Linked DNA regions of Drosophila melanogaster. Changing the gene in region 1 together with any one later gene gives a genetic interaction. Each region holds a gene or a part of one and is shown in the gene's direction. Other genes may lie near its edges.

The links. Genes that interact genetically often act in the same process or in processes that back each other up.
Region 2: of vn (region 1) and Su(H), changing one suppresses a phenotype caused by changing the other (phenotypic suppression), as found in Drosophila melanogaster (one study listed by BioGRID).
Region 3: of vn (region 1) and Burs, changing one suppresses a phenotype caused by changing the other (phenotypic suppression), as found in Drosophila melanogaster (one study listed by BioGRID).

Annotation. Positions count from the first base shown.
Region 1 is NT_037436.4:5,840,561-5,848,243, reverse strand, and holds the start of vn (vein), read left to right. Parts: upstream 1-2,579; 5' UTR 2,580-4,685; coding exon 4,686-6,036; intron 6,037-7,683. UniProt on the Drosophila melanogaster protein: Ligand for the EGF receptor. Seems to play a role in the global proliferation of wing disc cells and the larval patterning. Shows a strong synergistic genetic interaction with spi, suggesting a molecular interdependence.
Region 2 is NT_033779.5:15,036,176-15,045,595, forward strand, and holds Su(H) (suppressor of hairless), read left to right. Parts: upstream 1-3,312; 5' UTR 3,313-3,761; coding exon 3,762-4,145; intron 4,146-4,919; coding exon 4,920-5,800; intron 5,801-5,858; coding exon 5,859-6,066; intron 6,067-6,131; coding exon 6,132-6,443; 3' UTR 6,444-7,159; downstream 7,160-9,420. Other genes in the region: yellow-c, read left to right, coding at 411-816, 876-1,553; CIAPIN1 (cytokine induced apoptosis inhibitor 1), read right to left, coding at 1,697-1,810, 1,879-2,375, 2,465-2,600; ck (crinkled), read right to left, coding at 9,239-9,420. UniProt on the Drosophila melanogaster protein: Transcriptional regulator that plays a central role in Notch signaling, a signaling pathway involved in cell-cell communication that regulates a broad spectrum of cell-fate determinations.
Region 3 is NT_033777.3:21,766,621-21,772,540, forward strand, and holds Burs (bursicon), read left to right. Parts: upstream 1-2,897; 5' UTR 2,898-2,930; coding exon 2,931-3,060; intron 3,061-3,124; coding exon 3,125-3,249; intron 3,250-3,307; coding exon 3,308-3,574; 3' UTR 3,575-3,659; downstream 3,660-5,920. Other genes in the region: GABA-B-R2 (metabotropic GABA-B receptor subtype 2), read right to left, coding at 3,909-4,528, 4,590-5,056, 5,114-5,216, 5,282-5,627. UniProt on the Drosophila melanogaster protein: Final heterodimeric neurohormone released at the end of the molting cycle, involved in the sclerotization (tanning) of the insect cuticle, melanization and wing spreading. Heterodimer specifically activates the G protein-coupled receptor rk.

The DNA of each region.
Region 1 (7,683 bases):
AAAGCTCTACAAATATAACAGCTCTATTTGCTAGCTTTATAATCACAACCAACAGTAAACCTCTTGTCGAATCGGAAATGGAGTCGTTATTGGAATGGAAATTGGCAAATCATTTAATGATGGCTAAATGCGGAAGGTGAATTTAAATGTGATAAGATAATGATTATATGAACTCTTAAATGTTCAGTAGTGGTATTGGGCATTCTATTATTGTAAGTCATTTACCCTTCTAAATCTTTTGTTCATTAAGTCACTTAGTGGGAATTAAATTAGAATTGTTTTTCTTTAGTTTGTTTTCCCAACTCGGCTCCATCTTACATTACCGGCCTCCCCTGTGACGACAAATAGGAATTGAATGTTTGCGCCTGCGCGCATTTCGAAATTGCTTTTGGAAAATTTTCATGTTTTCATGTTTGTTATTGTTGTGGGCTTGGCTCGCTGCCCTTGTTGTTCTTGTTGCCATTGTTTGTATATATATATATGTGTTTGTGTTTTGATGATACAATGACGCTGCGCTTGGCAGCTGTTGTCTGTCGTCAGCCAGGTTCTAAAAGGGAGTGAGGGGATCTGGATCCCTGGATTCTGCAGCTTGTCCAACGTTTGCTTCCAGCACTTCCTTCCGTACTAGACAATGGAGTCTCTCTCTCTCACTTTTGCAGCTTTTCAAATATATGCTTAGCAAACTCAAGACAATCTACCTGCTCGAACTCTGAACTCTGAACGCTGATCGCTGAGCAGCGGCGACAGGTGTCGAGCTTTATTTCCGCTTCCGGGCGCTTTTCGCGTATGAACTGCAATAGTTGGCCCAATCGATAAGAACACTATCATTTGGTAGCGTTTTTTTTTTGCGCTCTTATCAGCTGGTTTGTTTCGATAAGTAGGGTAAGTACCTGTTTTGCTCATTCAGAAACTGGCAATGACGTAGACCAAGTTGGCCCAGCTCCGTCACAAGTGGCCGACTTTGAACCCTTCTTTGCTTCTGGCTTTTCTTACAATTGTCGCACTTGTCACCACACCACTGCCGCCCCACCTAAGCTCCCCTTTTATGCTTTTTCTCTTTTATTTTTTTTTTCTTCTGTCAGCTTCTTTTATTGTTATGCGCAGTGCGTAGAACAAGTGGAAGCTTTGTTTGACAATAACAACAACAGCGAGTGAAACATCAGCAGCTGGGGCAAGTAAGAAACAAAAAAAAAAAAAAAAACGTTAAGTTTACACGACTTCCAAGCGCTGGACGGAATCACCTGCCGCATTTTGTTTTTTCTGTAGTCGCTGTTGTGGGCTTGACATTTGACAATAAAGCAAATAATCATGGGAAAAAAGCTGAGCCCCCAGAAGAACGACAACTCGCCGCCGCAGTCATCATAAGAAAATATCAAAAACGGGAGGAAATCCGGAACCGTAGTCAAAACAAACGAAAGCGTTGAGTTAAGAGCTGTTGGATGAAAGCAAAACTAAATTAAGATTGACGAGTTATGTAAGGGTCTCATATTGTGATCGATCGATTAGCAATAAATAGAAAAAATTATGTCTCTTGCTCACAATTTTGTTAACAAATTGCTCATTGCTTTTAGGCAAATTGTTAAAAAGTTACAGCTCTGTAATGATAACTAAGATTAGTTATGAATCCAAACTTTCTTGAACTAGATAAGATCGCCGACAGTACATTTAACTTATTCAAATGCAGCATAAGCGCACATCATTCATTCAATTACTTGGAATGACTCATTGAGCTAGGACTTGAACTTTTTGCGTATGAGCAATAATTTTTAAAGACCCTCAGACTGGAACTCATTTATAGCAGCCTATCAGAAGCTCGACGATTATGAGTAACTTATTGGAAATCGGAGCAAAAGCCAATGACAACTGTCCTCTTATCTATTTTTATCTATTGGATTGATAATATTGTCGTTAGACACCTATTTAATCGTCAACGGGTTCGATTTCCCTCCTAGTTCGGTTTTCATTTTAACGAGTAACGACGATATTTTTTTAATACGTTGTTTTTCTAGCATATATCGTATCGACTTATTACGGTAAGAAATTATCCTTGCAGCAGAGGAATAGAGGGATTTTTCGAGAGAGCGAGAGAGTAAATCGGATTTACAAAATATATTTTAATACCCTAAATTTGAAAAAAAAAGGACATTATAGACTTAAAGAATTTTAGAGCAATCTCTAAAGAAATTAGCATATTGTGAAGCATACTTTTAGAGACGAATAAGTAAAGGTCTCGTGCCCTCCTTGATGTTCCATATTAAATATCCCAATTGTTAACCACAAATCGCCTTTAAGTAATTGATATAAAGTAATGAATTGGATCACCCGAAATTGTTGAGAGAAAACTGCAGGGTTGAGAAAATGCTGGCGTTGCTGTGAGAAGAAAACGTTGGAGAAAACACTCAACGTTTGAGCGAAATGAGCGTGCCGAAGATATTCGAACACGGCCGAACGCAGTCGAACAAATTCCGACCAGTGAGATACGTTTGAGTCGTGAGATACGTTTGAGTTGTATCCGTGAGATACGTTGTGAATGCTACAACTCTGCTCTGCATCGGTGAGATACGTTTGAGTCGTTTTCGCGGCGTCAAATCGAGCAGACCTGTGCCGCTCCGTAGAGCGAGTTCGTCCAAATAAAAAAAGAATTATACGAAATTCCGCCTGTGTTAGGAGCAGAGAAAAGAATAATTTTAAACCAACATACACAATCAGTTAGTTTCCACCGACAGTCCGCAGAAACCATTCGACGGCAACGGAACGGGCGCGCGATTGTCGGCAATCCGTAAGATAGCCAAATATTATTATTGTTCAGATACTCACTGAGGGCGTTGATAAAAGATCAGCCAGACAACTGCAGATCCGAGTGGAGTGTTTTGAAATCAGTGAAATTCTGTGTGAAAAATCGTTGATTTATTAATATTCAAGAATAAAAGTTCCCAGCGAATTTCATCAGCTGGAGTAACCGAAGTGACCCACCAAGCAAATCGAACAACACAAATCGATCGAACGTGTAAAAGGACTTTCGGTTTCATTAAGCGTGTGCAATTGCTGATTTTCCCCGGCAAAGCGGACTTTTTGCGGAATGAATGAAATAAAAAAAAAACAGCAGTGGCAACTATAATAATAAAAACAACAACAGTGCAACAACAGCCGGGGCATCTTCATAGATTTTGGCTCTCCTGAAGCAACAACTTCTGCCTGCACTTGGTATATGTACTTATCACATAGACATATATATACGCACAGATATATAAAACAAAAACGATCGCTTCTCGTGCCAGCGCGTGTGATTGTGTGCGTTCCCATGTTGCATATATATATGCACAAAAAATATATATATTTATCTAGAGCCGACTGTTGCGACGACTTTTCTATATAATCGGCTAGTGAGCACGCAGACATCGAAAAGGTGCACAAATACATCAGCAGATGCGGGTATATATGTATTGCACATATATCTAGCCAAAGCCAAAGTAGAAGATATATATGCGTATAAGCTGAACGCGGCGCACTCTGCTCTGTTTTTTCTTTTATAATTACTTTTGTCTAAAATTAGAAGACGTGTGTGTTGTGTGTGCCCCGTCCGTGTATCCGTATCCGTGAGATACGCGAGAGTGTCCGCGTCTGCTATATCGCACATCATCATCGCCGTACACCATCCGCCGTCCAATATCCACCATCATCATCATCATCATCGCCATCCCCATCATCATCGTCGTCGTCGTCATCAGAGATCAGAGATCTGCAGCGGTGTGTGTGCCAGAAAAGACGACTCGTGAATCAGACTACGGCTACGACTACGGGTGCGACTACGGCTATATAGGCGAGAGATCGCGTATACGGCCAGACAAACATTATCGTATATCTGGCGCCGAGGATTACAATTACAAGAGCAGCAAACGCAACAGCAGCAGCAGGAGCGGCAGCCGAAGTTAAAGCCGAATACGAGTACGAATACGAGTACGAATATCCGAGCCCCACAAACGAATACGAATACAAATACGAATCCGAACCCGAATCGAGGCGATACGAAACGATCGCGCGCGTGAAAAGCCTCGTGAAGAAAAGCGCTACGAAAAAAGTGGGGGAAAAATCAAACGCCACGCGACCTTAGGCCCGTCCAATTTTGGGGGGGGGCGTGCAGCGGGGCGTGGCCGTGCGTCGACTCCTAGCGATCGCTCAAGTGAAACGCGGCGAAATTCTGTTCAGATAACAAAAATGAGTCACCAAAATAAGCAGCAACAGCAACAGCAGCAGCAGCAACATCAAAAGCAACAGCAACAATCGAGTGCGGCAAAGTGTTCATAAATTAATGCTAGGCATACAGTGTGTTAGACCAGTCCGAAATACACTATCCCCCTCTCTCTCGCTCTCGAACAGTCCGTCTCTCTCTTGCCCCTGCTGTCGCTCAAAATGCTACGAAACTATCGAAAGTATTTGCAGGATAAACGGAAATACGACAAGCCACAACGACGAGGCAGCGAATTTTACATTTGTCACGTTTAGGCAAATTGCAAGGACAAAGGACACACCAACCCCCCAGCAGCAGCAGCAGCAGCAGCAGCAGCAGCAGCAGCAGCATCACGCAGCAATACGCAGCAGCAGCAGCAAAGCGCAGCAGCAACACTCGCTATCGAGATTTTGTACATAAAGTCGGGGCAATAGCAGCAACAACTTTGGAGGACGCCATGTATGCGCAACATTTGCGCAAATGGAGTCTAAAAACAAAAAAGCAACTAATGCCATTGATATTGCTAATTATCAGCTACATGTTGCTACTAAACACATGTGTGTTGTCGTCGTCGGCGACGACGCAGCAGCAACAACAACAGCAGCAGCAGCAGCAGCATCTTCCAAGATTATGGGAAGGCAGTGCCGAAGAAAGCAGCTACTATATACCACTGAGTTCGGATAATGGCAGCGGGAGCAGTGAAAGCTCCGCCGAGAGCGGTAGCAGCAGCAGTAGAAGCAGCAGCAACAACATCGACAACAATATCTTAAGTAGGCTGCTCAGCCTCAACAGCAATAGTCTTAGTAGCCGTAGCAATGTTAAGTTAAAGCCAGCAACAGTATTCGACGCCGGCAGCAGTACACCCGCTCAGCAGGAGCAACATGTGGCTGCCGTGCCAGAGCAGCAGCAGCAGCAACAGCAGCAGCAGCAGTCAATGCAAAAAGTTCCAAATACGTTAATCAATAGTCAAATATATAATTTATTATACAATGGCATGCCCAGCGAGGCGGCGAGCAGCAAAATGCGTCGCCACATTCAACCATCACAGCTGCCACATCAGCCAGAGAGCAGAGCGCAATTACCGAGCAACTACAGCAGTCGGCCGGCGGTGCGGAGCTATCTAATCGAGTCCTACGAGATGCCAGAGAGCATGTTAGAGGATCGCAGTCCGGAGCAGGCGGCGCGAAGTCGTCGGGATGGCAGCAACACCAACGGCAGCCGGCAGCAACAGCGCACCGGCCACCGGCAACAGTTGCAGCAGGACAAGCGCGATCACCGCCGCCAGCGGCAGGATCAGCAGAAGGAGCAGCGCCAGCAGCAGCAGCAGCGTCAGCACAAGAGCGGCAACAAGCACCAGCAGCAGCAGCAGCAGCGCAGGAAGCACCAGCGGAAGCACCAGCGATACAACCGCTATTGCTCCGCCCGAGATCCCGCCCAGTTGGCCTTTGCGGCACCCACCGTTTTCCAGGGTGTCTTCAAGTCGATGTCCGCCGATCGGCGGGTGAACTTCTCGGCCACCATGAAGGTGGAGAAGGTGTACAAGCAGCAGCACGATCTTCAACTGCCCACGCTGGTGCGATTGCAGTTCGCGCTGAGCAACTCCAGCGGCGAGTGCGACATCTACAGGGAGCGACTGATGCCGCGGGGCATGCTCCGCTCCGGGAACGATCTGCAGCAGGCGTCGGATATATCCTACATGATGTTCGTGCAGCAGACGAATCCAGGCAACTTCACCATCCTCGGCCAGCCCATGAGGGTCACACATTTAGTGGTGGAAGCGGTCGAAACGGCTGTGAGCGAAAATTATAGTGAGTGGATTTCGATTTTAAACCTAAAGTGGGTGGGCCTAGAATAAGTTTTTCAAAAGCAAGTTTTTGGTTTGATAAGAAAAGTTAGCCACCGATCATTGAACCCCCAACGAGTAGAGTAGCAAATCTTGGAAATATTGCCTTCAACTAAAAGACATGACATGGAAATCTCCCGAAAATTGCTCCCTTTCTCTCGCCACCTTTCTTTCGGCTTCCTCCCATTACATTTCTTTCTTGCCGTCTCTTTTGCGCCATGGCAGCTGCCTCTTTCTACTCTCCACGTTGCTGGTTGTTGTTTAATGAAATTTAGCTGCTTTTTGCAGCTGAATTTCTTATTTGCCAACTTCACGCTCTGCTAATATTCACCAGACCGAAATAATTTTATGCAATACACTCACACCACTGCTACACACACACACACACACACATGCAGGGAAACGTTGCGCATGCGCCTGTGCGATTGCAGTTTTTGTTGTTGTTGTTTTTTTTTTTTTTTTTGCAAGTCTAGGCTCTGGTCTTCTTCGGATTCTTCTACTGGATTCTTTTCTTTGTGCCCGACTCAATTTGGTTGCTGTGCAACAAAAATGCTCACATCTAGAATTTATTATTGCCGCTGCCTCGGCTGTTGCTAGTTGCACATTTTAATTAAATTCGCATTAACTTTGCTCGCTGCTCCCGGCTTCTTCTCCCTATCCCCCTTACTCCCTTACTCCCTTCCTGCCTCCTGAAAAGTGGGAAAAACTTTGAAAACTCATTTCTGTCCGCCCGTCTTTTTAGCTCCAATGTGCAACTCACAACGTCATCGTCATTGTGGTGGTTTGTTGTTCTTGTTCTTGCTGTTGTTGTTGTTGTCTGCATTCGACCTTTGCGGTTGGCAGACCCAACCCAACCCTACGTTCTTCTCCCACTGCTGTTGTTGTAATTATTCTTGCGTCGCGGTTCATGGAGTTTTGCGTCTGTAATGCGACTAAGTGCGATCACCCGGCCCCGCCCCTCGCCGCCTCCCCCGCCTTTGCCTTGCCTTTCCCTTCACACCCTCGAAGGGGGTATTTCAATTTTGGCTAGCAACAAAGGTAGAAATATGTTTTTCGAATCTTTTTAGGTATTATATATACATATGTATATGAGAGACCTTCAATGTCGATATAATTTCACATTATATAGAAATTTTGAATTACTATATCATTGTTCTTGAACCCTTGGCAGGGCATATAAACTTCGACTACCTTGAGCTAACTTCCTTTCCTTTTATTTATTTATGTTTGTTGCTGTTGTCTTTATTGTCTTCTCCCTCTCGGATTGTGTGCTTTGTTTCATCGCGGGCGCAATTAGATTTTTAATTCATTTTCTCTCTCCACATCGCTCCTTAGCTGCTGTTTCAGCTTCTGGCTCTTCCGTCATGGCTCCCGCACACGGAGTGGGAGAAAAAGAAACCCCCCTCCGGTATACCCAAGATCCCCAGATACATGGTCACATATACGGACACGTACATACATGCATATGTAAGACCCAACCCTTTTCGGAGCTCCCCCCGCATCGAAATCAGCTGCAATCAGCTGTTCTCTCGCGCTTTGTCTTTTTGGGTTTTTTATCTGGTGTTTATTTACTTTCTGGCCTTTGCTTCCTTCTCTCTCTTTTTGTTTCACC
Region 2 (9,420 bases), on another chromosome or scaffold:
CCTTTTTGGGATTTACCACCGATGCGCTTATTGGCCAAAAAGCCCCGAAAACCATTCTGCTTTTCGGGAGATATGAGTAATCAAAACAAAATTCGATTTAAAAACATTTCGAAAAATAAGATACGTAAAAAAAGTATATTTTGTTGATAATACAGCATAATTATTTAAGCTATAGTTGCCGTCAAAGTTTTAACTGATAGTGCTAAGATATAAATTAAAACTATAGCTTATATTAGACTATATCCAATCAGTCATAATAATTGCGCAGGTGAATGGTACTTTTTAATGTTATTAATTTGTTACTTGCCAGTGTCAGGTTTAAATGTAATTAGTAACTAAACAAGTCTGAAATGTAAATTTTTTAGTTAATTTATTTCTCCTCATTATTAAATGATCTACTTTCCCTTTAGATGGAAGGCTGGTGTTGCTGCCACACTCAACTACATCGACATTAATTCGACGGAGAAGTCGCCAAAGCTGCATCCGTATCCCAGTTGGGAGGCCAACAAGCTGCCCATCGATGTGCAGCCACAGGACCAAAAGACACCATCCGGTGGACGTCTGGACGCGGACAAGGCTCAAGATGCCGGCATCCAGCTGAAGGACAACTCCACTGTCATTTCCACCTTCCGAATTCAAGTCGACGTATGCGATCGCCTGTGGGTGCTCGATACTGGCTTGGCCGACATCCTGGGCAGTCCCAAGCAGATTACGCCCAATTCAATCCTGGTTTTCGACTTGAAAACAGATACTTTACTGCGCCGTTTCACCATTCCCGCTGATCAGACCAAAGAGGACTCGTTCTTTGCGAATATTGTGAGTATGCATAGGCGTATTATTTAAATTCCAAACTGATCGAATTAATCAATATTTAGGTTGTGGATGCGGACCGCTCGGAGTGCCAAGATGCCTTTGCTTACATTCCGGATTTGGGTGCCTACGGTGTGATTGTGTACTCCCTGAGGAACGACAAATCCTACCGCGTCAAGCACAACTTCTTCCACTTCGATCCTCTGCATGGTGATTTCAATGTGGGCGGCGTGAACTTCCAGTGGACGGATGGCGTTTTTGGGCTGGCCGTGGGCCCAATGAATCCAGATCACTCCAAGGACATTTATTTCCATGCCCTGGCCAGTACCAAGGAGTTCAAGGTTTCGAACCGCGTGCTGCAAAACGAATCACACGTGACCGCTGGCGATTCGTATTACGATTTTAAATACGTTGGTGACCGTGGCATGAATGGCCAGTCCACCGCCGAGGTCTTTGACCCCGAGACCGGCGTCATCTTCTATACGCAGGTGAACAAAGACGCCATTGCTTGTTGGAACATCAAGCGTCCATACACTCCGGACACCCAGGGGCTAATCGATTCCGATTCGCACACTCTGGTCTTTCCAAATGACATGAAAATCGACAATGAAGGCACTATTTGGGTGCTGTCCGACAAGATGCCGACATATTTGTACAAGGAACTCGATCCCTCGGCCGTCAACTATCGTATTTTGATGGGCCAGAACCGCGATCTCATCAAGGGTACACCATGCGAAATGTGATCACTTGGATATTTAAATCTACATGCTGTGTTTATGACGCGGTGCATTTTTGTATTTACATTATGACATTATTGTTTGTTAGTAAGTCAGCTTAATAAACTATTTGAAATGTGATTGATTGGGTATACCATGGTGAGCCTAAGTTAAATGTCGGATTTCAGGAGGTTGTCGGCCAGTTGCACCTTCTCACCGGGCTTAAAGGCGGGCATGCCCAAATAGGGGCAAGTGGAGCAGCGGAAGGCGTCGCCGAGATAACACTGTGCATATAAGAAATCAGTTATAATCGAGGTTAATGCTAACTCACATCGGGGTTAAGAGAACTCACATTTCCACAGCTTGACTTGGCATTCTCGGTGGCCTTCTGGCTCTGTTTTTCAGTCTCCAATTCCTCGGCCAGCCCGCAGGAGCAGTTTTTGCACGCCTTGCGCTTGCCCGTGGTGCTACAGACACGCAGACCAGCCGGATCCGGCTTCTGTTTGTCTTCCTCGTCCAGCAGCTCCTCCTCATCGATCAGTTCCTCATCGTCACCGCTTATCTTCCACACATTGACTGCACTGGCGTTCTTCTTTGCGAATGACAACCTGGCTGAGGATCCTGTCTCGTAGCCAGGCTTCTCGGCGGTCAAAGCATCTGGAGAGTCCTCGCGACAGTTTATGAATCCGGATAGCTTGATCTCCTGCAGCAAACTAGCCGCCGGACCGATGTAGGACACCAAATGCAGTTTGCCACTCGGTTTCAGCATGTGCAGCAGTTTTACGTAACTGTCGGTCAGCTGGGCGCACTCGATCACAATCAGGTCGAAACTGGAGTTGGCATAGGAAGCTGTAATGCATAAACATCACTGATTTTAATCTGCTGACTCACTGGCTAGTCAAAAACAGCACACACACACCGCACCGCACGCAACTTACAAAACGAAAGGCGGTGCACATTTTCCAAAGCCACATCGCCGCCAGTGGCCGCCTTTAGTTGCTCCACGCGCTTGTCCAAGTCGGCGCTGTCCGTCCATATGTATAGGGATTTTTGTAGACCCTTAAAGTTCTCCATTGTGGATGTGTTTCTAGAATATCTCAAAAGTTCAAGCACCGAACGGAACCGATTTTTGATTTCACAAGTTAGATATGGCAATGCACCGAAAATCGAGCGGTGATATCGATTGTACCTGCCTATCGGATTGCAAATGATATTCAGTGATTGTAGATTTTTCCACTTTACACTGTGACTGCTAAAATATATGAATAACTAAGTGTACTCCACCAGATTCGTTTTTTAATGAGTTACAGCTTACATTCTGATACATAATTAACAGCTTTTAGTTGCATATTGTGTGTTTCTGCCACTAAACCTATTTAAACGGTTACATTTAAGCCTAAAGTCGCGAATTATCTTTTAAATTCACCCATGTGTACTTTCCCACGGCCCGTTTTAAAAATGCATGGACAGTTAGACAAGAAGGTTGGTAGTTTGTACCTTGAATTTTAAATGTGGGCGCTCAAAATCGAAGTGTTCAATGAAAATCGATACCTTTCGCATCAGTTAAAAGTATTTATAGATATAAGAAATAATATCTTTAACAGTGATGTGATGGGAATAAATATACAAATGTATTCAGAAACTGCAAAGTTAAAACAAAATATATTAGCTACTCCAAATTGGCTATAAAATAACCAAATGCCCACTGCCATCCAAATCCAACCAACAGTGCTGTGAAGCGACAAACATATCGCCGGTAGGCAGCGACTATCATAAATAAGCGCCTATCGGACTATCGATACAACATCAACATCCTCAGTCGCTTTTTTAGTTGTAGCATATTATAAATATAACTCGAGCGCTAGTTGCAGCCTTAAACAGAAGCCAGCCGCCACTACCGCTAGTCGCTAGTCAAGATCTGCTCGAAACGCTGAAATATGTGTGATTAGTCGTGAATCGCAGCTAGCCGCAAATCCAGCTTGAGCTACAACAACAAAGCCAATCCGCGGTTAAGAGGAAGAGAGTGCGTGAGAGAAACGACAGCTGCTCTGCGTGTGTGTTTGTGCAGCAGGATAACAAAATAGAAAACATACAGCAGCAACAACAACAACAAAAACAGCACCAGCGAACAGTGTATAAAGTGCCAAACGAATTTGCCAAATAGCCAAAAACGAAATAATAGAAAAGATCCAAACAAAATTCCAATAAGTTCAATGCAAGGAGACATGTGCATAAATGAAGAGCTACAGCCAATTTAATTTAAACGCCGCCGCCCCGCCCGCCATTGCCTACGAAACTACGGTTGTAAATCCCAACGGCTCACCCCTCGATCCTCACCAGCAGCAGCAACAACAGAGCCAGGATATGCCGCACTTTGGACTGCCCGGTCCGCAGCCGCCGTCGTCGCAGCAGCAGCAACAACAATTGCAAGTGCACCACCAACAGCAGCAGCAGCAGCAACAACAACAACAACAACAGCAGCATCAACAACAAATGCAGATGTCCTTGCTGCCGGGTCCTTACCGGCCACACATCGAGGAGAAGAAGCTCACGCGGGACGCCATGGAGAAGTACATGCGCGAGCGCAACGACATGGTCATCGTTATCCTGCACGCCAAGGTACGAAAGGATTTCCACTTTTAAGCCGGTATTATCAGGTGCTTGGTCTGGATTTAGTATTCAAGATATTCTAAAACATACAAGGGAACTCCTGAGTCTTAAGTCTTAATTAAATTATTTGAAGCTTGAAATACATTATTTCAATATTACTAAAAATATATTAACCCAAACTGGAGAAACGTAGGATATCCTAACTTTCATTTAAATTAGAAACTTGGTCAGTTTTGTACGTCGATTTCCTAAATTATTCGATTTTTTAGATTAAATAGATTAAATTCAGATTTTCTTTCTATTTCAAGTTTAACGATGTATCCTTTCTTTGAAAATTACTTGTATGCTTTACAAGATATTTATTTTTTTTTTATAATTTAGTTTTAATCTAATCGGTCAGTCCGCAACGCCAAAACCACACCCACTATTTAAAGGTGCTAGTGTTTCCATTGTCCACTTTAAAGTGTTACATTTTTGCGGTTTTTGGCGAACGCAGACATGAAAATGGAATAAAATTGTCGCGGTTGCTTTTAGCGGTGGCGATCTTCAAGCGACGACTGCCGCCAAATGGGAATCCTTCACACTCGACTGCCCGCAAATTGAGCAACGCGAGCGCGGTCCAGTCCGCAATGAAAATAATTGAAATTAATTACAGAAAATTAACAAAGCTGCATTGCTTGCGGTTTTGATATGATTTTCCGATAATCTGGACGGCAATTTGTACTAATTGAATTTTCCCTGCACCATCGTGCGCCTCTGTCTGTCTGTCTGTGTGAATTCCAGGTGGCCCAAAAGTCCTATGGCAATGAGAAGCGATTCTTTTGCCCACCGCCGTGCATTTATCTGTTCGGAAGTGGCTGGCGCCGGCGGTACGAGGAGATGTTGCAGCAGGGCGAGGGCGAACAGGGAGCACAACTATGCGCGTTCATCGGTATCGGGAGCAGTGACCAGGATATGCAGCAGCTGGATCTCAATGGCAAGCAGTACTGTGCGGCCAAGACGCTCTTCATCTCGGACTCGGACAAGCGAAAACACTTTATGCTGTCGGTGAAGATGTTTTACGGAAACGGTCATGACATTGGCGTTTTTAACTCGAAACGGATCAAGGTTATATCCAAGCCGTCCAAAAAGAAACAGTCGCTAAAGAATGCCGATCTGTGCATAGCCAGCGGCACCAATGTAGCCCTGTTCAATCGCCTGCGTTCCCAGACTGTCTCCACCCGTTACCTTCACGTGGAGAACGGACACTTTCATGCGTCGTCAACACAATGGGGAGCTTTTACGATACACCTGCTGGATGACAATGAGTCCGAGTCGGAGGAGTTTCAGGTGCGCGATGGTTACATTCATTACGGAGCCACAGTCAAACTGGTGTGCTCCGTAACGGGCATGGCCCTGCCACGTCTGATCATCCGGAAGGTAGACAAGCAGATGGCCCTGCTGGAAGCCGACGATCCCGTTTCTCAGCTGCACAAATGCGCCTTCTACATGAAGGATACGGATCGGATGTATCTCTGTTTGTCGCAGGAGAAAATCATACAGTTCCAGGCCACGCCGTGCCCCAAGGAGCCGAACAAGGAGATGATCAATGACGGCGCCTGCTGGACCATCATATCCACCGACAAGGCTGAGTACCAGTTCTACGAGGGCATGGGTCCTGTGGCGTAAGTATAGCTTACTTACAACTCAATGGATTAGTTTTCATTTCGTGTTTTCTTCCAGTTCTCCAGTCACTCCAGTGCCAATCGTTAATTCCCTTAATCTCAATGGCGGCGGGGATGTGGCCATGCTAGAGCTGAGTGGCGACAACTTTACGCCGCATCTGCAGGTGTGGTTTGGCGATGTGGAGGCGGAAACCATGTACCGCTGCACAGAGACATTGCTATGCGTGGTGCCGGAGATTTCACAATTTCGAGGCGAATGGCTTTGGGTAGGTTTTCCAATGTAAATCTGTTTAATACGCGCTATAAATTTTACTTTTAATGGTCCTTGCAGGTACGTCAGCCCACGCAGGTGCCCATTTCGCTGGTGCGCAACGATGGAATAATTTATGCCACCGGTCTGACCTTCACGTATACACCTGAACCAGGTCCTCGGCCGCACTGCAATACACAGGCCGAGGATGTGATGCGAGCGCGACAGAACAATAACAATAATAACATCACTAGCATTAGCAACAATAATAACAGCAACAATGCGGGATCGCCGGCAGCCGGCGGTGGCTTGCAACAACAACAGCAGCAGCATCAGGCTCTGCCCTCCATCTCAGAAGTGCAATGGAATAGTCATGGTAGCGGCTTATCCTGAGTGCAGGATTATTGCATCGCACACATATGTATCCTAAGTTATTTATAGTTTTTATCGAAGACCTTAGTTTGTAGATTGACAATTTTTCTCATACTAATTTTCAACCCCTCGTGACGTAAACCAAAATGTGTCCCCTTCTCTCTAAAGTGAATCATACTTTACACATGTATCTAGTGCTAGTTCGGAACCAATAGAATTGTAAATGACACATAAAACTCTGTACATAACTCGAAAAGCTCACTGACATACATACATACATTTGTATGTGCATGAATATACCTTTACACAAAACATGTAATTCTAGTTAAATATACAATTGATGTAAGTTTATAGACGATTTTTAGATGCGGTTGAAATATTTATGATTTTCTTTGCTATGAATTTCCAAAGATCTAAATGAAAAAAAAAAATACTGCGAAATGCATCGGAAATTTTTATTATACACAAGCCAGTAGCCACGCTACAAAAACATTCCATTTCCCTCTTTAGCTTTCTAAAAAGTCGAAGACAAAGTCAAAAAGGGAAAAATTTGTTTCTGTACATACAGTTTTGTTGCATTTTTTTATTAACTTTGGAAATTCGTAGCATTAAAAATCCCAATAAAATATTTTGTAAAATAAAATCGCAACAAGACAAAACAGCGATTTATTTAAGTGTAAGCGAAATGCCTAACATAAATAAAAAAAAGAAATCCCAAATGATGACAAAGAATAATCAAATCATGTCAGCTTATGTTTTTGGTTTAGCGTGATTCTTCTGGTTCACCATTTTTCCTGTGGCCTAAGGTGGAGCGCTGGGGAGGATTGGTTGCCTTAAATTGCTGTGGGAATATTACCCAGTATCGTGTGAATATTTTTAAACAAAACAAGTGCAGCTCTTCCCACGATGGTTTGCCTCAACCCCCTCGGACGGGCCGACTTTAATTATAGTTTGGTCTGGAATTGCTGAACGCGAAGCTAAGAAGCAAATATACATAGATATATAACACTATTGTTTCCGTTTTGGCCAAGTTAAGGAGCAGAATATTCTCACAGCCCAAAAAGCCGCTGCCGAGCTGCTGTGAGAATTTTTACTGCCTTTGTTGAATATTTATGCATTCGTTGCTGCTGCTGTCTTTACAGATTTACAAATTAAGATTCGCAGTTTTGAATTAATTATCGCTCACTTCCGCTCGACGGAATCAGAAGGTGAGCGCTGGCCAAGCATTTAATCTCATCTTGCACTTGGGAGACATATTTCTTATCAGAGTCAGCCAATAGGAACTTGGCTGCAACCCCTAAGATTTTACTGCACCGGGCGATGGGAACGAAAGACTTAAACAACGAACTTTGGTTGCGTGAGGAATCAAACTACTGGCGGCCGCCTGTGTTCATTATGATGGAAAAACCACCACCAAAAGTTCTGGCTCTGGCAATTGGAACTGCAACCTCTTAAGGTCGTCGCCGTCTTATAAGAAGCTGAATATGAAATTAGTTTGGAATTTTTAATGAACAATTCCTTCACATTTCCCCAGGCCCTCTTTCTCCACCACTGTTTGGATAGGCGAGTGCGATGATTGTGGTCGTTTTTAGAAAGGGGGAGACAGCAATTTCTAAAAGTTCTCAGGACTGCTACACAACCTCATACCGTCTACTAAAAAAGTTCATTATCTTGAAAAATCTAAGTCTACCTGCCGTCGTCTTTAGTCTTTAGCTTGCCGTGCCGACTGCTGCCGTTTTTCACACGCTGGGGAAAAATGGAAATTCTCGCAAAATACAATGCGTGGGAAATCGGTGGCGTGGGAGTCAGGCAAGAAAATCAAGGGAAACTATATAATCCAGTCCTATAAAAATTTGTATTCACAAGACTTTGGACACGTACTCCCTTCCATGCGCGGTAAATCCAAAGCCGTAGGTCAAGATTGGTAAATCGATGGCAAAATCGATCGGATTTTCAAAGTTTATAGGGGTCGGTCGTAACCGTTACTTCAACTTGTTTAGTTCCATTGTTGTTACTTAACAAAGATATTTATATAAGACTAATTATTTTATTTATTAATGACTTTAATGAACTATTAACACTTGTGCTTACACAGCATTTTTTGTCTAAAATAGATTGGTTTGTTCTATACGAACCCATTTTCAAGACTTGTCACAAGCATTTGTTCAAGTTAAGTGTTATTAAGTGTCCAAAGTTCGTTTGTTTGTTTCTAAACGAAATGAACTTAAGACATTTAACTACGTGTTTGCACGTTTGTTTGTGTCCGAAGTATAATTTTCTAACCGTTGATCGAAATGAAATTTGCATTAATCCAGGTCAATGAGATGACCTTACCTTCCATCCGATTCTATTAAAAAGACCACATAATTTGTATATAATTTATTAAATAATTGAACATTTCTATGTATTTGATACAAAACGTCATCAGTACAGATATGCAGTTAGGATATACAAAGATATAGATGCAATATGTGTAGATACAAATGCTTATCTAAAAATATGTAAGACCTTTTCTTCATACAAAAACATTGTATTTAATAATTTAACCGGAATGTGCCATAAGAATACCTAAACGTGTAATTGCAAAAATTTATACAAATACAAATACTAAAAACAAAAGTTGCAAGTTGGTTTGGTATAATCGATAGCTGAACAAGACCAAAATTGGAATGAATTCTCTGGGAAGGGAATGCAATTGGAATAAAGGGAGGTGGGTATTAAGTATGATTTAAATCTATAAAGTACTAGGCTTTTATAAGTTATTGCAATTGTAATTTATAATTATTATAAATATTTTGCGTTATGTGTAGGTTTTACTAGTTGGCTCGAATGGTTCGATTTTTGTTCATATTGGTCAACATCAACGAGATATATGAAGTCAGCAGATCGTCCATCTTGTAGCCCAGCGACGTTTCACATAACAATTTCGAGCCCCTAACCAGATTTCCGATGGTCATGTGGAAATATGTATTGCCCGATGACCAATTCGAGATGCGTG
Region 3 (5,920 bases), on another chromosome or scaffold:
TGTAAATTAATTGGCGTGCTCCATTAAAGCATCTTACCAATATCTGCGCATGCTTGTTGAGAGTGTCTTGTTGCACTTCTCTATTTGGTGTCATGCATTTATAAGACTTGTCAAAAGTTGTTTTAATTTCTTTAAGCTCGTTTTGTATTTCTTGCCAGTCCATTTAAAGAATACTATGGATTTATCTATGCAATCGAACTTTATAAATTTTGGCCTCTCTCAAATAGGTTTCTTCAATAATCTTTTTTTTTTTTTCATTCTAGTTTTCTGATATTAAAAATAAAAATTTTAGATCATCTTAATTCAAAATACATTTTGGATGTTTTTTTTTTTTTTTTTTTAAATTTTATCCAAACTATTCTCTGCTTTGCCTATATAACGCCTCTTTATTATCTTGTTATGCTTAACATATAGCGTTAATATAAACTGAGCGACTGTTACGATCGTCATGATCAAAAGGAGTAACCACAGTGACTGAATGTCATCTGTATGGTCGACTATTTTTAAGTTATTGACCACATTGGCCGTATTATCTTTTGTCTGACTATCGTCAGATCCAAACCAACCCATTTTTGTATATTTTTATTTTTTTTTGTTTTATTTTTGGGTTTTGGTTTATTTTACTTTAAAAATATGTTGTTTTGATTTTTTTTTTTTTTTGTTCAATATAGTTACATTTTCCTACCTAGTTGGTGTATGGCTTTACGGGCCATTCTTCTCATCGGGCAGAAAAAGTTCCGCTCAATGTTACAATATTTTGTGTAATATTAATATGCAGCGCAGTGCATCGAGGGTGGTGTGCCACGCAGGGCAACAAAAAAAAATATTTTATTTTTCAGCTCCTATTTGCTTCACTCTGACCCTCCTTGCGTCAGCTGGACGTCGCCGGGGTTGGCACGCTGACACTCCCTCGATGACGTAATGAGCGGGCTGCTCACCACGTTGATGATGATTTCCTCATTTAGGGGTTATGTGGTGGAGCTGCAATGTCTGCACGTATGTTCACAATGCGGTGTGAACAGTGGTCCCTCGCAGTCGTTCGGGCATCTTTTCTTGAAAACAGGCAGGCTTTTCGGATTGGGAGTTGGAGTTTTGTTAATTGTTAACGATTTTATTTGATTTTCTGAGTGAGCGCGTGTGGTGGGGATTTTTTTCTTGAGATATTCGACACAGTGGTCTAGCTCAGCTTGTAGTTTTTGAGCTTTCGACCATTGGGGTGGTGGAGTGTTCGTATATAATAGCCACTTTATGTGCGCTATTCTCTTTTTTATATTATGTCGAACTCCGCCCCTGTTTTTTCCCATCACACTGACACTCTACTCACTCAGATCGCTTTTTTCTTCATAATTGCCGCCGTCTTGGTGGATGAGCATCGAAGTTGAAAATTATCACAAGCGGTTTCCTTTAGCTTCTGCTACAACTTATAACGATCCTTTGTCACGGTCGCCATGTAGTTAATTAGAATTCCAATACTTCTGATGTAGTTAATAAAGTCTCAAAACGCAGTTGGTCATTTTATCTTTATTTGGTTTTTATTAAGCGAGCGTACATTCCAGATCTATTCCTGATTTATAACTGATCTTAGTGTGGTCTACAGGCAGATCTCTTGTGACAGCCAAGTGCTGACACTAGCAAATTCTGCAATATGTAAGTATGTAGTTCATACTCGATAACCAATGGGAGTCGAGTGCGACCCCTAAAGGCGTACATGCTGAATTCGCATATTTAGTATTAGGGTGTATCTAAAGATCTACTAGGGTGACCCTAAGGAATTAGGGTGGTCCTAAGTTTACTTATTAGTCGACTTATTATTATGATTCATATTATAATTATTATTAATATTATTATTATTATTGTTATTATTATTGTTATTATGTTCGTATATACTACACTCCGCTGGATGTGGCCAATCGCAACAAACTGATCAAATGGCTGTGCAGATACCAGGCCAGCAATTGCAGGCCAAAGGTTAACGTTCAGTTCGTAACAGGTCATGAAGTACCATCGCCGGATTACCGGGAAACGTTCTATTGTGCCGCCAGTGGTGCCGATTACAACTCATACACCATGTTGTGGGGTCAGTATTATTTGGAAAATCGCACTAGCGAAAAGAATATGCTCTGGGCTGCAATCAGCTGCACGAGAGACTACGAAACCCATTACCACAAGATGATCATCTCTGGTACGGAAAGTGTTGAACAAAAGAAAATTGGTATCGCCCGTATGTACGAGGAGAATCCTGACTTGGTTCAGGCAATTTTCGAAATGATTACCGAAAACATTATGGAATTAGCGTATAAGTGAGTTATTTTTCATAATTTGATCATCTGAGAGTGTGGTTTGATTGTTTATTGAACACTTAACCTTGTCGCTTTTCAGCTTCCAGAGTTGGTCGGGACACGGCCGAGGTGATCAATGACATGGCGGAGTACTTCACCACCCGGGAGCAACAGCAGTTGCTCAAGGAATTCTACTACAGCAATCACCAGTTCTTCGGTGAATCGGAAGAGCTGCTCTCCAAGTCCCTGGTCACTGTGGAAAAAAACCTTAACTGGGCGGAAACCCATTTGGAAGGCTTAGTAAAATATCTGGCGGACAGAAATGGTAGCTCCTGCCTGGGAGCCACTTCCTTGGTGGTGGTTCTGCTTTTAGCAGTGGGCAGCATGTTGGCCTGGCCCTGATTAGCCAATAAGTTGTGAGGGAAATAAAGAGATTGCCGTGGTCGTGCGCCGCGGGAGAAATGCCCTTTTCGTGTACGCAATTACTAGGCAAAAAGGTTTGGACGGCCCTTGCTTTATTAGGCCATAATTTACGCTGTCGAGCGGCCATTAGAGCGGCATCCGCTGGCCAAGTTGGTCTATAAAAGCCCGGCGGCTGCAAGTGGCGTTTTCCATTCCACGTGAAAGGACACTCGCAGTCGGGCCGACGAGATGCTGCGCCACCTGCTCCGCCACGAGAACAACAAGGTCTTCGTCCTGATCCTGCTCTACTGCGTCCTGGTCAGCATTCTGAAACTCTGCACGGCACAGCCGGATAGCTCTGTGGCCGCCACGGATAATGGTATTTGATAAGGCATTTGATAATATCATATTATTCGCTCTAATGGATTCCATTTACCATCCAGATATTACGCATCTTGGCGACGATTGTCAGGTGACGCCCGTCATCCATGTGCTCCAGTATCCTGGATGTGTGCCCAAGCCGATTCCCTCGTTCGCCTGCGTGGGTCGCTGTGCCAGTTATATCCAGGTGGGTGTTGATATACTTGAAATATAAATTATAATTTGATATAATCTGATGACTTTAGGTTTCGGGCAGTAAGATCTGGCAAATGGAGCGTTCCTGCATGTGCTGCCAGGAGTCTGGTGAGCGGGAGGCAGCCGTCTCGCTATTCTGTCCCAAAGTGAAGCCCGGCGAGCGTAAATTCAAGAAGGTCCTGACCAAGGCGCCATTGGAGTGCATGTGTCGGCCATGCACTTCCATTGAGGAGTCTGGCATCATACCACAGGAAATTGCCGGCTATTCGGACGAGGGTCCACTCAACAATCACTTCCGGCGCATTGCTCTGCAATAGATTCCCCCATCAGTTTAGCACTCATACCCATGCCCATTTGCTCATTAAAATAAATTAGAGTTGCCGTTTCTGCTTGTACACAGTGAAAAATGTGCCTCTGAAAGCTCATGCCAGTGAAAGGGAAACATCAGCAGATATATGATTATTTTAAATTGTAATTTATTTCCCAACTATCTCATGTCATTGCTACTAGTTCACTAAATGGTGTGTGTCCTGCTTCACAGGGTATGTATGTAGATGCGTAACTCCAAAGAAAACAAAGATAATCTTTACACTGCAACTGGATCTAACAATAGGAGTTTAACTACGGCATAATGCATATGACTCGCGCCGCCTACAAGTACTCGACGATATCGCATTTGATGGATATATTCGGACAGCTCTGGCCCACGGCACTGCGGCCCCGATAGTTGGGACTCTTCTCGGTGAGGAGTTTCCGGAAGATGGGCAAAATTGCCGTCTCGCCCTCGAGCAGTTCCGTCTCGCTGCTGGCGCCGTAGATGCTGCTATCCTGCTTGCCGCGCTGCCTGCTCCGCTGCTTATCGGGCGCCACATTGGGCGAACTGTGGTGGTGGGCGGCGTGCTGGATGTTAGAGCTCCGGCTGACCTTACGCGGCTGGACGCACGGCTGACTGTTGGGCGGCGGATCTCGTTCCCGTTCGCTGTCCGTCTCGCTCTGGCAAACGGTGCCCTTTTGCGGTTTTGGCCGATGTTTGTTGCGGTTCTTCTCGGAGACGGACCGCTGGATGGGCGAGGTGGTGTTCGGGTCATAGGTCATCCCGTGGCCGCCATGATGTTCCGCACAGCGCTGCGGACTGGCGTAGTTCCGCGGCGACTGGCGCTGCTTGGCGTGCGACAGCGTGTGCGTGTCCCAGAGGTCACTCTGTGAAACCACGAAATTGGACTTCAGAGCGGAGCCCATGCTGGTGCGGCGATGGTCGGAGGCAGTGGGAGCTATTTTCGATTAGAAAATCGATAGTATTATAGTATTATAAGAGACGCGCAGAAAACTTACTCTTAATCACAGCCGGAGTACTGGGCTTTGAGTGTGGACACATGTTGCTCAACTCCGATTGCGATGTGGAGATGTTGGTGGAGGAGTTCCGGTGCGAGCTGCTGTACTTTGGCCGGGCGGTGGGCGTCTGGCTGCCACTGTCGTAGTGCCTGGAGGCGGTCGATTGACGCCTCTCCCGCATGCTGGAGCAGTCTCCTCCGCTCCGCTTGCCCGCCGTACTGGTGATGCTGCCTATATTATCATCGGTCTGAGCGGACACCGAGTTTCTCTTCTCCAGATGGCGATGATGATGCTGCTGCTGCTGCTGTTGCTGTTGCATCTGCTGGTGTTGCTGCTGCTGCAGGTGCTGCTGCTGCATCTGCTGATGTTGCTGTAAGTGCTGCTGCAGTTGCTGCTGGATGGGCTGCATCATAGTTGGAGCAGGGGCATGCGAGTGGTGCTCTACAATCGATTGCTTTTTCTTTTTGCTGTTGGAGAATATCCATAGATTAGAGTGTATTTAAGACCAAAATTTAAGAACTTACGGAGGAAGCGATGGCGCCATCACTGTAGACTGCACCGACACAAAGGAGTTATCCATCTCCACATGAGTCGAGGTCACACTATCCACGGACGTCATCTCGGTAACTTCTATGACAAACGGGTTGCAATGCATGAACATATCTACGAAATCCCCCTCCTTAGCCACTCACCTGTGGTGCTGGGCATCTCTCGACGCACCGGTGGAGCTGAGAGCCTAACAATGTCATCGTTCAGTATGGGCTCCAGTTCGCTACCGACGTTGGAGCCACCTGTGCAGGTCACCCCATCGATCCATTTGCGTGCCTCGGGTCCCAGCTTGCGGATTAAGGCCTGCAGCTCGTTCTCCTTCTCCATCAGCGCCTTTCGGAATCGGCAGTTTGTGTTCTTTACATCTCGCAATCGTTGCTCCAGTTCGCACACCGAGGAATCCCGGCGTCCGTTTTTGGACATGGGTCTCAACGTGGCCCTAACGCGTTTGTCCACCACGCCCTGGGGATTCCGCTTCAGCTCCACCAACTGCAAAACGATTCGCATGAATATTAACCAAAGATTATACTACGCGGTCAACATCTAGGAAGGATCAACTCTACGGACAGTAATATAGGATAGTTAAAGATATTCCAACAGCAAGGAAGTGGGATTTGCCTACAACCTTGCTGCTGCTCTTAGTGGGTTCTATATAGTTCAAGTTTATAGTTAGTCTGTAGTGTTATATAGCATTTTAAGATCTGTTTTCGAGTACATGTTGTTTCTGTATCAAGGTGTATCAACGCTAGACGAAAGATCAGCTCAGCTGGCGGTAAAGTACG